Macaca fascicularis: one gene and its partners. The main gene of each other region encodes a partner of the protein of the gene in region 3 in a complex. Links are inferred from orthologs where the notes say so. Each region holds a gene or a part of one and is shown on either strand. Other genes may lie near its edges.

Region 1 (4,286 bases), on a different chromosome or scaffold from region 3:
ATCATCTCCTCTGTACAGTGTCCAGAACACACGAGTTCCCTGTCTTGATATTCGATCAGGAGACACAGGAACCAAACAAAATTTTTACACAATTCATTTTAAAATCAGAATTGTGGCAAAGGAGCAAAGAAATACAAGGCCCTATGCAGCCTGCGATAAGGGGACTTGCTCTCTTCTTTCTTCTTCTTGAAGAGGGATCTTTGCCCAGAAGAAAGTCTCTCCTTTATAAAGTCAGTTTCATTCTCCAAAGCCTGAGGGAAAAGGTCTCGCGGTCTTCCCCTGTCCCTCCAAGGAACCTCCCCTGAATACGAGTGGCAGTTAATAAGGAACCCCCGGCCGGGCGCGCTGGCTCACGCCTGTAATTCCAGCACTTTGGGAGGCCGAGGTGGGCGGATCACGAGGTCAGGAGATCGAGACCATCCTGGCTAACACAGTGAAACCCCGTCTCTACTAAAAATGCAAAAAAAAAAAAAAAAATTAGCCGGGGGTGGCGGCGGGCGCCTGTAGTCCCAGCTACTCGGGAGGCTGAGGCAGGAGAACGGCGTGAATCCGGGAGGCAGAGCTTGCAGTGAGCTGAGATCCGGCCACTGCACTCCAGACTCCGCCTCAAAAACTAACTAAATAAATAAATAAGGAACTCCCATCCCTCTCTTCAAGTCGTCTCCCTCCCTCAGGGCCCACAAAGAAGTTGCAAACGGGTTTTGTCCTCTCCTGAAGAAGTGGAAGTTCTTTTCTTCTAAGGAAGTGGCAGATCTTCCCTTCGGTGTCTTCTCCAAGGGGTCTCCCACTTTTTCCCTTCTGTGACAGCCCTTCCTTCATATCCTTCAGGGACCCCACACTCTGAAGATAGCCTTTACATCCCTAATCCCCTTTGGGAAAACCCCCTGGGGCCCAGGTACTCACAGATCTAGCCAATCCCCGAGCCCCAGGCCGCCACAGCAGCAAGAGGGCAGCCTGGCTCAGGCCTCGGTTTGGCCGCCAGACCCTCGCTGCAGCGATCGCTACCGCCATCTTGGCTAGCAACCACTCAGCGGTAGGGCACTCACGTAGGCTAGATTCGGGGCTGCCCCTTTATGTGCCTGACACAAACTCCAGCACCATCTGACAAGAAAATCACCTTCTTCCCATTCTGTTGTAGATAGAATGCACAGAGATTTGGAGAAGAAAACCTATCTACCCAAAATTTTCCCCAGTCGCCTCATTGTAGTTACTCCTGTAACAGGCAAAGAAGAGGGCAACCTGACCACGGCCTCAGGGATTTAGGGCCCGGGGGCCCAGAGTAAAACAGGTCACTGCCAAGGCCTGCCTCCTGTTCTCAACTGTCCAATGGCGTTGCCAGAGTTAGGAGGTGGGACTGGGCGGAGCCAGATTGTTGGTAAACGCTAAGCCACGTGCGGACGCCAGGACTGACGGCCGAGCCCAGCGCGTGCGCAATGGTTACGCAGAGTGTTCGCAGCGCGCGCTGCCGGGCGGAAGTGATAATCGCAGCCGCACGTGGGGTCGGCGCGATGGAGGAGGAGATGCATACTGACGCCAAAATCCGCGCTGAAATTGGAACAGGGTGCAGCCCTCGGGGTCCCGGCTGCAGCCTCCGGCACTTTGCCTGCGAACAGAACCTGCTGTCGCGGCCAGATGGCTCTGCTTCCTTCCTGCAAGGTAAGAACTTACCCAGGTCTTTTGGAGAGGGACTACCATGTACCGTGCAACGGAGTGCCCATCTCCCCATGATACCAGCTGGTAAATGTCACTCCTGCGTTGATACATGATTTCTTGTCCGATTGAATACTACTACATACGCAGGGATACATACATCTCTCCCTCACGACTAGAAAGGAGAAGATAGCTCCATCTTTGTAAATATGTCTGAGAATGACAGGCGGGGCAGACCGTCCCCGCAAGAATTGATATTTCAGAATAGGGAAAATCACCTCACCAGGGTAAATATCGCCCTTAACTAGGTTCCTCCTCCTCACCCCCGCCCCCGCCCGCCCCACACACACGCCCGCTAGGTCCTTGCATCCCGGACTGACGCAAACCTGTCAATTTGCATACTCTGGACTGTGGCGGATCTTTCACCCACGTAAATACTCCTCAAATTGAAGATAATGTCACTGCCCTGGGTTGAAAAATACATCCCCACCGCTACCTCACTGCATCTCTCCACAGGAGTAAATATCCCTAAGATTAGGGCAAGTCTTACCTATAGGGCAAATATCCCCTTCCCCTAGCTAAATAACTCTCAGAACCAGATTAACTCCAAGAATATTTCTCTTTAACGTTTGAGACAGGAGGCTGGGCACAGTGGCTCACGCCTGTAATCCCCACACTTTGGGAGGCCAAGGCGGGTGGATCACCTGAGGTCAGGAGTTCGAGACCAGCCTGGCCAACATGGCGAAACCCCGACTCTACTAAAAGTACAAAAATTAGCCAGGCATGGTGGTGGGCGCCTGTAATCCCAGCTACTGGGGAGGCTGAGGCAGGAGAATCTCTTGAACCCAGGAGGCAGAAGTTGCAGTGAGCCAAGATTGTGCCATTGTACTCCAGTGTGCACGACAAAACAAGATTCTGTCTCAAAAAAAAAAAAAAAAATTTTGAGACAGGGTCTCACGATGTTGCCCAGGTTGGTCTTGAACTCCTGGACTCAAGCAGTCCTCCTCCCAAAGTGCTCATATAGGTACCAGCCACCACGCCCAGCCCCAATACATTTTAACAAAATCTGGCTGCTGTGTTGATTGTGGGGAGTATGGGGGAAAACAGGGAGGTGATGGTGGCTCCAGCCAGAACAGGAGTAGTGGAGGTGATGAGATTCTGGATGTAGTTTGAAAGTAAAACGGACAAAACTTACCTATAGTTTGGTTTGAGTGCGAGGAAAAAGAGTCAGGCATAACTAAGGTTTCTGCCCAGATCTGTACAAGTCTGGAAATCAGGAGAGAGACCCAAGCTGGACATAGGCAATTTGGAACTCTCTGGCTGTATATATGGTATTTCAGCCTATTGACTGAACGAAGTCAGTGTAGATGGAAAAGAGGTCCCAGGACCAAGCCCTAGGCCTTCCAACTTGAGCAGTCAGGGACTTGTGACAAGCAAGCTAAAGGAGACTCAGAAGGAACGCCCAGAGACTTAGGGGGAAACCGGGAGAGGGTGGTGACCTGGGGCCAAGAGAAGAGCGTGTCTGAGATGTGAGGGCTGACAGCTGTTTCGGCCTTACTGACAGCCGGGTCAATGGAGGGTTGATCATTTGGAGGTCAGTGGTGACGATGTTGAGCTGCCGCAGTGGAGTGGTGGGGTCACAGGAAAGGAAGAATAGACAGCTGTTCAGGAGTTTTGCTGTAAGAGGATCAGATAAGTGGGGCAGGAATTGAAGATGGTTGTGGGGTCAACAGGGGAGAGAATTGCTGGAGCCACGTCTTGAAGAAGGTGAGAGGGGAGGGACTCTTGTGCTCAGGTGAAACACAGGCAGTTCATCTGGAGCCAGAGGCGAGTTCTATTTTGGTTTCTCCAGTCCTCAGGGCAGTTTTTCCTGGAACTAAGCACACCTTCCGTGTAAGGGCAAATTGGGCATCCCAGGAAATACCGCCTTAACCAGGGACCTTCCCGGACCCTCCCTCAGGCTTAGCACTTATGCTGAATTGAGATACCTCAAGTTTCTTCGAACCTAAGAATTAAGAAGGGGCCGGGCGCAGTTGCTCACATGGGTTGCTCACACCGGTAATCCAAGCACCTTGGGAGGCCGATGAGGGTAGATCACCTGAGGTCAGTAATTCTTTTTTTTTTTTTGACACAGAGTCTCGCCCTGTCACCCAGGCTAGAGTGCAGTGAAGCGATCGTGGCTCACTGCAACCTCCACCTCCCAGGTTCCAGCGATTCTTCTGCCTCAGCCTCCCGAGTAGCCAGGACCACAGGCGTGTGCTCCCACGCCCAGCTAATTTTTGTAGTTTTTAGTAGAGACGGGGTTTCACCATGTTGGCCAGACTGATCTTGAACTCCTGACCTCGTGATCCACCCGCCTCGGCCTCCCAAATTGCTGGGATTACAGGCGTGAGCCACCTCGCCCAGTCGAGGTCAGGAGTTCTGAGACCAGCCTAGCCAACATGGTGAAAACCCGTCTCTACTAAAAATACAAAAATTAGTCGGACGAGGTGGCACGCACCTATAATCTCAGCTACTCTGGAGGCTGAGGCACGAGAATCACTTGAGCCTGGGAGGCGGAGGTTGCAGTGAGCTGAGATTGCACAACTGCACTCCAGCCTCCTGGGTGACAGAGGGAAACTTTGTCTCAAAAAAGA
Region 2 (4,242 bases), on a different chromosome or scaffold from region 3:
ACTCCCCTCAGACGTCTGCCATGCTCTTCACGGTGGACAACGAGGCTGGCAAGATCACTTGCCTGTGTCAAGTCCCTCAGGTCAGAACCACCTTGCACCAGTGGGAAGTGTTGGGTCTTAAGCTTGTTTGCTGAGGCCTGTGTGTGTACAACCTGCATTTAAAAGAGCCTGTCTCCTGCCTGCCTGTTGGTCACCTTTGCCAGTACCCCTTACCTAGGCCTCCTCATTGGTTGCATCTGTCTGGTTGATACTTGGCTTTGCCACTCTGTCCTGTCCTGGCAGGGGCCATGACTGCCCCCTGCACTAGCCGTAAAGTCTGTCTCGGCCTCCAGCAGTATCACCCAGGGCAAAGGAGTGGGTGATGGCTCCTCCCTCAATCCCATTTTCTGTCCTGACTTCCCCCTTCCCTTTCTTTCTTCTAGAATGCAGCCAATCGGGGCTTAAAAGCCAGCGAGTGGGTACAGCAGGTGTCAGGCCTGATGGACGGTAAAGGTGGGGGCAAGGATGTGTCTGCACAGGCCACAGGCAAAAACATTGGCTGCCTGCAGGAGGCGCTGCAGCTGGCCACTTCCTTCGCCCAGCTGCGCCTCGGGGATGTAAAGAACTGAGCGGGGGAGGAGGTGGCTTCTACTGGCTCCATCTGTCCAGCCGGGAGCTCTTCATCTGCTACAAGAACATTTGAATCCTGGGACCTTTTGAGAGCCCCTCCTACCCCGGCCGTACCTGGAACACCCTCACGAGCAGTCCTGTGACTCAGCGCCCCTTATACTTCTGCCCTGAGCCCTCCACATCAGTGCCATCTGTCGAGAACCACTACCCCCGCATTGCTGTTGATCACCACACTCGCATCTGTAGATAACAGCTCTCCAGCCTGAGCTTTCCGTGTCAGCAAGGACGAATCGTTTTTTGCTGCAGAGAATAAAAGGACCACGTGCAATACTTAATGCTATATGATCTCTATCCCTCTTCCCAGGTGGAGCTCGCTGTTTTGACAGCCCTTGGCCCCTGCTGTCTGTAGAATAAATGCTGTGGCTTCTACTGGCTGCTGTAGTGTTCACCTAGTCCAGCCCCAGAACCCTAAATTTTGGGAAAAGCCCCTGGGGTTGCCTCAAACGTTTGTGGAGGTTGAGGCCAAATAGGTAGGGTGACATGGAGCAAGGCGTTCATAATTCAGTAGATGGGGTTAGTGGAAGCAGAGAAGCCTTGGAGCTGCTCTCCCGCTGCCTTCCAGCAGGAGGGATGGATCAGGCAGCCCTGCACAAGTGGGACCAGGGCGCCAGGGACGCCGGCCGTTCTCCCTCCGAGCCTCCAGCAGGCGCTGTAGCGTCGCCCGTCACTCTCCCGACAGCCCTCACGCAGGCGCGCGTCTTTAAGCAACGGAAGAACCAGTGGGTGCGGCAGTGCGTTGGGCGGAAGCGGCTCTCAAGCCAGGAGCCGCCATGCCCGGGGACCACCGCCGCATCCGCGGCCCTGAAGAGTCGCAGCCGCCGCAGCTGTACGCGGCCGACGAGGAGGAGGCGCCCGCCGCCCGCGACCCAACGCGACTGCGGCCCGTGTACGCGCGCGCCGGGCTGCTGAGCCAGGCCAAAGGCTCGGCCTACCTGGAGGCGGGAGGCACAAAGGTGCTGTGTGCAGTGTCGGGCCCGCGACAGGCCGAGGGAGGCGAGCGCGGCGGCGGCCCGGCCGGATCTGGCGGCGAAGCCCCGGCCGCGCTGCGCGGTCGCCTGCTGTGCGACTTCCGCCGCGCGCCCTTCGCGGGCCGCCGGCGCCGCGCTCCCCCGGGCGGCGGCGAGGAGCGTGAGCTGGCGCTGGCGCTGCAGGAGGCACTGGAGCCGGCCGTGCGCCTGGGCCGCTACCCGCGCGCGCAGCTCGAGGTGTCGGCGTTGCTGCTGGAGGACGGCGGCTCGGCCCTGGCCGCCGCGCTCACCGCCGCCGCGCTCGCCCTGGCCGACGCGGGCGTTGAGATGTACGATCTGGTGGTGGGCTGTGGCCTGAGCCTCGCGCCGGGGCCCGCGCCCACTTGGCTGCTGGACCCCACGCGACTAGAGGAAGAGCGCGCCGCCGCGGGCCTCACCGTGGCGCTCATGCCTGTGCTGAATCAGGTGGCCGGGCTGCTGGGCAGCGGCGAGGGCGGCCTGATCGAGAGCTGGGCGGAGGCCGTACGCCTGGGGCTCGAGGGCTGCCAGCGCCTCTACCCCGTGCTGCAGCAGAGCCTGGTGCGGGCGGCGCGCCGCAGGGGCGCCGCCGCCCAGCCCTGAACTAGAAGCCTGAGCAACGACGGACGCAAGCCGAGGACCGTGCTGCCGCCGTCCCTGAAAAGACCCGCGCCGTCGGCCTCCAGCCTGCGTCGAGGTAAGCAGCCGGAGCCCTGGAGAGCACCTGGGTAGGCTCTAGCAGAGCCAAGGCGCCGGACAGCTGTGGTGTTGGAAAGGGTTTTTACAAACCTCGTTAAAGGAACTTTACTTGAGCCGGCTCTTAGCTTCGACCCAGTTGAGGAAACCTGTGAGCGCATCCTGACTCCCAAGTTGGAAACTTTAGCTGGACTTACCTGGAAGCTGGTACCTAGAGCTGCTGTCATTCAGGCCAGCCAGTGACCCCCTCCGATATAACTGGGCGACTTTTCAGAGGATGGACAAGACGACTGTGCCTTCTGTGTCTGAGCCAAAAGAAAGACCCTTTTATATTTGAAAAACGTCTTATGGTGTGGTTCTTCTTGGTCCGGGATTTAAGAGAGCAAGGCTCTTTTGTTCTTGCATCCCAGGTGTCAAGGGTCGCGGCGGCATTGCCTTAAACGGGTTCTGTTCCTTAGGCCCACGTGAACAGGAGACGGGCTGAAAAGAGCTGCAGAGCCTGAGGGGAGCGCTGTGATTTGGAGAAGCAGCTGCCCCCACATGAACCAGAGTTAGGGGAACTGCTGAGATACGACGAGAGTAGGGAGAGTTGGCCGGGCCGGCGGCTCACACCTGTAATCCCAGCACTTTGGGAGGCCAAGGCAGGGAGATCACCTGAGGTCGGAAGTTCGAGATCAGCCTGACCAACATGGAGAAACCCCGTCTCTACTAAAAATACAAAATTAGCCAGCACTAATAATGGTGGCATATGCCTGTAATCTTAGCTACTCGGGAGGCTGAGGCAGGAGAATCGCTTGAACCCGGGAGGTGGAGGTTGCGGTGAGTGGAGATCGCACCATTGCACTCCAGCCTGGGCAACAAGAGCAAGACTCCGTCTGAGGAAAAAAAGTACGGCCCCAGAAGTGCGCTGAGTGCACCTCGTGCCCCAACCTGGCTTGGTGCTGGGTAGCTGAAAAGGGTTTTGCTCTGCGTAGAAGCCATCTGTCCTTGGCCATGTGCAGAATGGCACAACCCGAGCCTCCACTGCTGGTGAGAAGTGGCACCCTGGTCCTACAAGGAAGACCCTGAGCAGCACCGCAGAGGGCAGGTGCACTGCTAGGAAGGCCAGGTACAACCTGACTGACTCACCACGAGGTGGGGTCTTTCCTGTGTCGCTACCAGCTCTGCTGGTTTGGGCTCAAGACTGCATGGTAGGAAGCTAGGTGACTGCCATTTGGAAGGCGGCCTGGTCCCCTCTCTGCACTCAGCTTCTCTAGGAAGGGCCGACCTGGGTCAGCCCAAGGACCAGAATGAGTTTCTGGGGCCACACCCAGAACCCCTGACCAGGAAAAATACAAATTTTATTTTTTCCCTTCTGACATAACGTGTCTTTCTAGAGCAGGTCTGAAATAGTATCACACCAGTGGGGAGAGGACATAATGTAATTCTGAAGGGTGACTTCCTAGAGTAGATGGGGAGTCTGGAGCCCAAAGAGGGCTGTGTGGGGTACACACTGAGAACATTCCAGCAGTTTCAGGGAGATTGGAAACTCAGGGAGATCTGCTGGCTATCTGTTGACTGGCGGTGTATCGGGAGGGGAGTGAAGATCAGCTGTGTCTGCATTCAGACAAGGCTGAGGGTGCCCTCTGAGGGGAGGGGAGGGGAGGGGAGGGGTGGGGTGGGGTGGGGGGTGGGGGTGGGGGTGGGGGTGGGGTGGGGATGGGCTGTCATCTGCCCCTTGCAAGAGAGCCTCAGCTTCATGAGGATGGCGACCTGGTGCAGTCCCAGGCCACCTCCTAACCGTGTCAGTCCCAGGACCATCATCTCGAAATGCAACCTCTAAAGAAGCTAAACCCACCACTACAGGTTGGCCCTCTGCTTGTCTGGCAAGCCCTGTGTTCACTTCCATTGC
Region 3 (4,088 bases):
GGCCTGGCTTCCTGGCCGCCGGGCTACGCGGGCTCAAAGGACACCATCGCCCTCTTATGGCCCCGGCAGTACTGGACCAAGGGGCTGGGCTCTAGCGCCTTCCTCCAAGCACGGCGGAGGGCGAGGGTCTGGCCGCCCACTTACCTAGGGCCTTGGGGCACTAGCATTCACGTCACGGACTGCCTGGCAGGGCTGACTTTCTTAAGTGTGGTCGTGCGCCTTGCTTAAGTGGAAGAAATGCTGTCGCTTTGGAGATTTATAAAACAATTGGTTCGATGGATCTTTCTTCAGGAGGCAGACTTGGTTTACCTGCTTTTCTGACCACAGTTGATGTAAATGATTTCATTTAATCCTCTTTAGAGTCCCTGTGCATGGGGAATTACCATTCCCAATTAGTTTGTTGTGAATGTAGGGCAAGGAGAGGGAGACGGTAGTGGGGAACGGGAGAAGGGGCGAGGGGTACGCTCCTATTAAAACGGAGCCGCAGCAAAACCCACAGAGACATGTCTGTTCCCTGCTGAATCCTTAGAACAGCGCCTGGCACACACAGAGCACTCAACTCGCTGTGTAACTAAATGCAAGCCATCTTCGTATTATGTGTGCACTTCCCTTCCCTACCAAATATACCTGGCTTGCAAGGTTTGACCTATACTGTTAGACGATTTTTAACTTGTTTCCAAAAGAAATATTGGAGTAAATTAGCTTGCTTAAAGAAGTCTTTATGAAAGAACAGAACCAAGTGAGAAGTATCTGGAGCCCGGTTTGGAGGTATAGATGATGATGCTGAGCCAGCACCCACGGGGCGGCAGCAATGTAGAATACTGGGGCTACTAGGAACCGTGTGGACGGGGGCTCTTCTCTCTGTTCAAATAGTGTTTTCTGTAGATCCCATCTCTCCATCCTCCTGAGCTCTCTCTTAGAAAATACCGGATTTCAGCAGCTTAGAATCGGACAGAAACTCAGAGGTCCGTTTCTCAATTATCGCTAACTCTTGTAAACAATAAATGGGATGGTGAGTACAAGACAGTTTTGGTAAAAAGTCACACCCCACACAACGTGAGATTGTATTATTCCACGGGTGCTCCCTTGCCAATAGTAAACATGGCAGCTCGGCTCCCTTCCCTTCGGGTTCGCCTTAGTGTTGCCAATTGTAAACATGGCCTCCAGACCGTGAGTTCTCATTGGCAGCTGCTCTGAGTCCCCGCCCTTCCCCGCCCCTCCGAACGCGGCCAGGAGTTGCGGAGTCGGATATCGCGGCTCCCGGCTGAGCTGCGCCTGCGCAACTCATTGGCGCCAAGATGGCGATGGAGATGAGGCTTCCAGCGGCTCGCAAGCCTCTTAGCGAGAGACTGGGTCGCGACACTAAGAAACATCTAGTGGTGCCGGGGGACACAATCACTACGGACACGGGATTCATGCGGTACGTGGGGACTTGGGGGAGTCGAGGCTTCATAGAGCGGCTTCAGGGCTCTCTGCACGTGGTCCAGGCCTCGTATCCCGGTGTGTCTAACTCCCCGCGGGACCCCAGGCACTTGGTCTGAGCATCCTACTCGCCTCGCTTCCGAGCCTCGCGCTTCTTGCCCCCTGCGTCTTGTGTGTCCCCTTCTGCGTTTGTCTCAGCTCCCTGAAACCCTCCACTCCTGACCTCTGGTGGCTGTGACTTTTGGGTCTTCTGCCTGAAGTCCAAATCTTGGAGCCTTCCTTGTAGGAGACCTGGAAAACCGGGGAGGTTTAGGCGCAGGCTCTCTTTCCAGTTTTCAGCTCTCTGAGGGGACGGTGGGTGTTCTTGGCCGCCTCCTCTTCAGTTTAGAATCCGTAATTGTTCGAGCTTAGGGCAAACAGTTACATTGTGCTGCCTGCACCCATTTATACACATTTTGAATCCAAGGGGTGCAGTACAGTGTGTTGTAGTTAAGAGGGCAGGCTCTTTTTTTTTTTTTTTTTTTTTGAGACAGAGTTTCACTCTTTTTGCCCAGGCTGGAGTGCAATGGCGCGATCTCAGCTCACTGCAACCTCCGCCTCCCAGGTTCAAGCGATTCTCCTGCCTCAGCCTCTCGAGTAGCTGGGATTACAGGCATGTGCCACCATGCCTGGCTAATTTTTGTATTTTTAGTAGAGACGGGGTTTCTCCATGTTGGTCAGGCTGGTCTTGAACTCCCGACCTCAGGTGATCCACCCTCCTCAGCCTCCCAAAGTGCTGGGATTACAGGCGTGAGCCACCGCGCCCGGCCGAGGGCAGGCTCTTGAGTCAGACAGTTGGGGTTCCAGTCCAGCTACCATCACATCTTATTAGCGGCATTGCCTCTCCACGGTCAGTTTCCTCATCTGTAAGATAGTGATAATAACAGTATGATACGGTAATGAGGATTAAATGAGATAATTATGTAAGAAAAGAAGTAAAACCAGCCATTATATCATCATCATAGATAACACTAGCGTTTCAACCTTTTTTTTCTGTACATGTATCTATACAAGGGGCACAGCATTCATAGCATTGCCCTTTAACCTGTTAGTTTAAGGCTAGTGGATCCTAGGAAATATTTTTTTTTCATTTTTGAGACGGAGTCTCTCTGTCGCCTAGGCTGGAGAGCAGTGGTGGGATCTCGGCTCACTGCAACCTCTGCCTCCTGGGTTCAAGCAATTCTCCTGTCTCAGCCTCCTGAGTAGCTGGGATTACAGGCACCTGCCACCATGCCCAGCCAATTTTTGTATTTTTAGTAGAGATGAGGTTTCACGATGTTGGCCAGGCTGATCTCGAACCCTTGACCTCAAGTGTGATCTGCCCACCTTGGCCTCCCAAAGTGCTGGGAGTACAGGCATGCCCAGCCCCTAGGAAATTTTTTTTTTTTTTTTTTTTAATGAGACAGAGTCTCACTCTGTCGCCCAGGCTGGAGTGCCGTGGCACAGTCTCAGCTCACTGCAACCTCCGCCTCTGGGATTCAAGCAATTCTCCTGCCTCACCCTCCTAAGTAGCTGGGATTCCAAGCGCACGCCACTATGCCCGGCTAATTTTTGTATTTTTAGTAGAGACGGGGTTTCACCATGTTGGTCAGGCTGGTCTCAAACACTTGACCTCGTGATCCACCCACCTCGGCCTCCCAGAGTGCTGGGATTATAGGCGTGAACCACCGCACCTGGCCAGGAAATCTTAAGATTCATTCTTTCGTTAATGCTTTCAACATATATTTATATTTTGTGCAGTTGGGATATAACGGCAGAGTGAAAAATCTCTGTCCTGGTGGAGTTATAACGGAGAATGTTAGGCAATAATGCAATGGGGAAAAACGTGGAGCAGGGTCAATGGAATGTGGGGGAGTGGTGGCAACGGGGTGGGCTGTGTTTTCAATGGCACAGTCAAGGTAGGCCTGCTGGAGAAAGTGACACCTGAGCAGACCTGAGTGAGAGGGGTGATTTCCAAGTAGCCAGTCTGGAGAAGGAGCACTGAAGGCAGAGGAAGCAGCCAGCACAGAAGCCAGGCTTTGCAGGGGGAGCTTGTTAGCTTTGAGGAACACATTGTTCTTGAAAGGAGAGAGGTCACCTCGAGTTACCCTGGTATCCTTTCTTTGTACCTTTGCCTTGCATCAGGGGCCACGGAACGTATATGGGAGAAGAGAAGCTCATTGCATCTGTTGCTGGCTCTGTGGAGAGAGTAAACAAGTTGATCTGTGTGAAAGCTTTGAAAACCAGGTGAGAACAAAAGGTGTGTATTCCCTTTCTTGCGGCATCCAGGTTGTACAACCAGGCTTTTTCTGCCCCCTCCATATCCCCTACCCCACCCCTGCCTGCCCTGTCATGCTGTAAGTCTGAGGTTTTGACCATGACTGTAGGTGGGGTGGTGCAGATCAGTGTAGGCTTCAGAGGTTTTCCCATGTTATGTCACCACTCCAAGCCTTGGTTACCTCCTCTGCAAAGTGAGTATAATAGCATGGCCTACTTCACAGGATTTTCTTTTTTTTTTTTGAGACGGAGTCTCGCTCTGTTGCCCAGGCTGGAGTACAGTGGCACAGTCTGCACGCTGCAACCTCTGCCTCCCGGGTTCAAACGATTCTCCTGCCTCAGCCTCCCAAGTAGCTGGGATTACAGGCACT

The links.
Region 1: EXOSC2 (region 3) and EXOSC5 share a complex: the UniProt entries of both Homo sapiens proteins name them as parts of the RNA exosome core complex. The link is inferred for Macaca fascicularis from reciprocal best matches to the Homo sapiens genes EXOSC2 and EXOSC5.
Region 2: EXOSC2 (region 3) and EXOSC6 share a complex: the UniProt entries of both Homo sapiens proteins name them as parts of the RNA exosome core complex. The link is inferred for Macaca fascicularis from reciprocal best matches to the Homo sapiens genes EXOSC2 and EXOSC6.

Annotation. Positions count from the first base shown.
Region 1 is NC_088393.1:48,537,941-48,542,226, reverse strand, and holds the start of EXOSC5 (exosome complex component RRP46), read left to right. Parts: upstream 1-1,443; 5' UTR 1,444-1,508; coding exon 1,509-1,656; intron 1,657-4,286. Other genes in the region: BCKDHA (2-oxoisovalerate dehydrogenase subunit alpha, mitochondrial), read right to left, coding at 904-1,011. UniProt on the Homo sapiens protein: Non-catalytic component of the RNA exosome complex which has 3'->5' exoribonuclease activity and participates in a multitude of cellular RNA processing and degradation events.
Region 2 is NC_088394.1:70,113,747-70,117,988, forward strand, and holds EXOSC6 (exosome complex component MTR3), read left to right. Parts: upstream 1-1,399; 5' UTR 1,400-1,439; coding exon 1,440-2,258; 3' UTR 2,259-3,709; downstream 3,710-4,242. Other genes in the region: AARS1 (alanine--tRNA ligase, cytoplasmic), read left to right, coding at 1-80, 423-608. UniProt on the Homo sapiens protein: Non-catalytic component of the RNA exosome complex which has 3'->5' exoribonuclease activity and participates in a multitude of cellular RNA processing and degradation events.
Region 3 is NC_088389.1:13,185,564-13,189,651, reverse strand, and holds the start of EXOSC2 (exosome complex component RRP4), read left to right. Parts: upstream 1-1,277; 5' UTR 1,278-1,298; coding exon 1,299-1,420; intron 1,421-3,585; coding exon 3,586-3,687; exon of another isoform or gene 3,688-3,700; intron 3,701-4,088. UniProt on the Homo sapiens protein: Non-catalytic component of the RNA exosome complex which has 3'->5' exoribonuclease activity and participates in a multitude of cellular RNA processing and degradation events.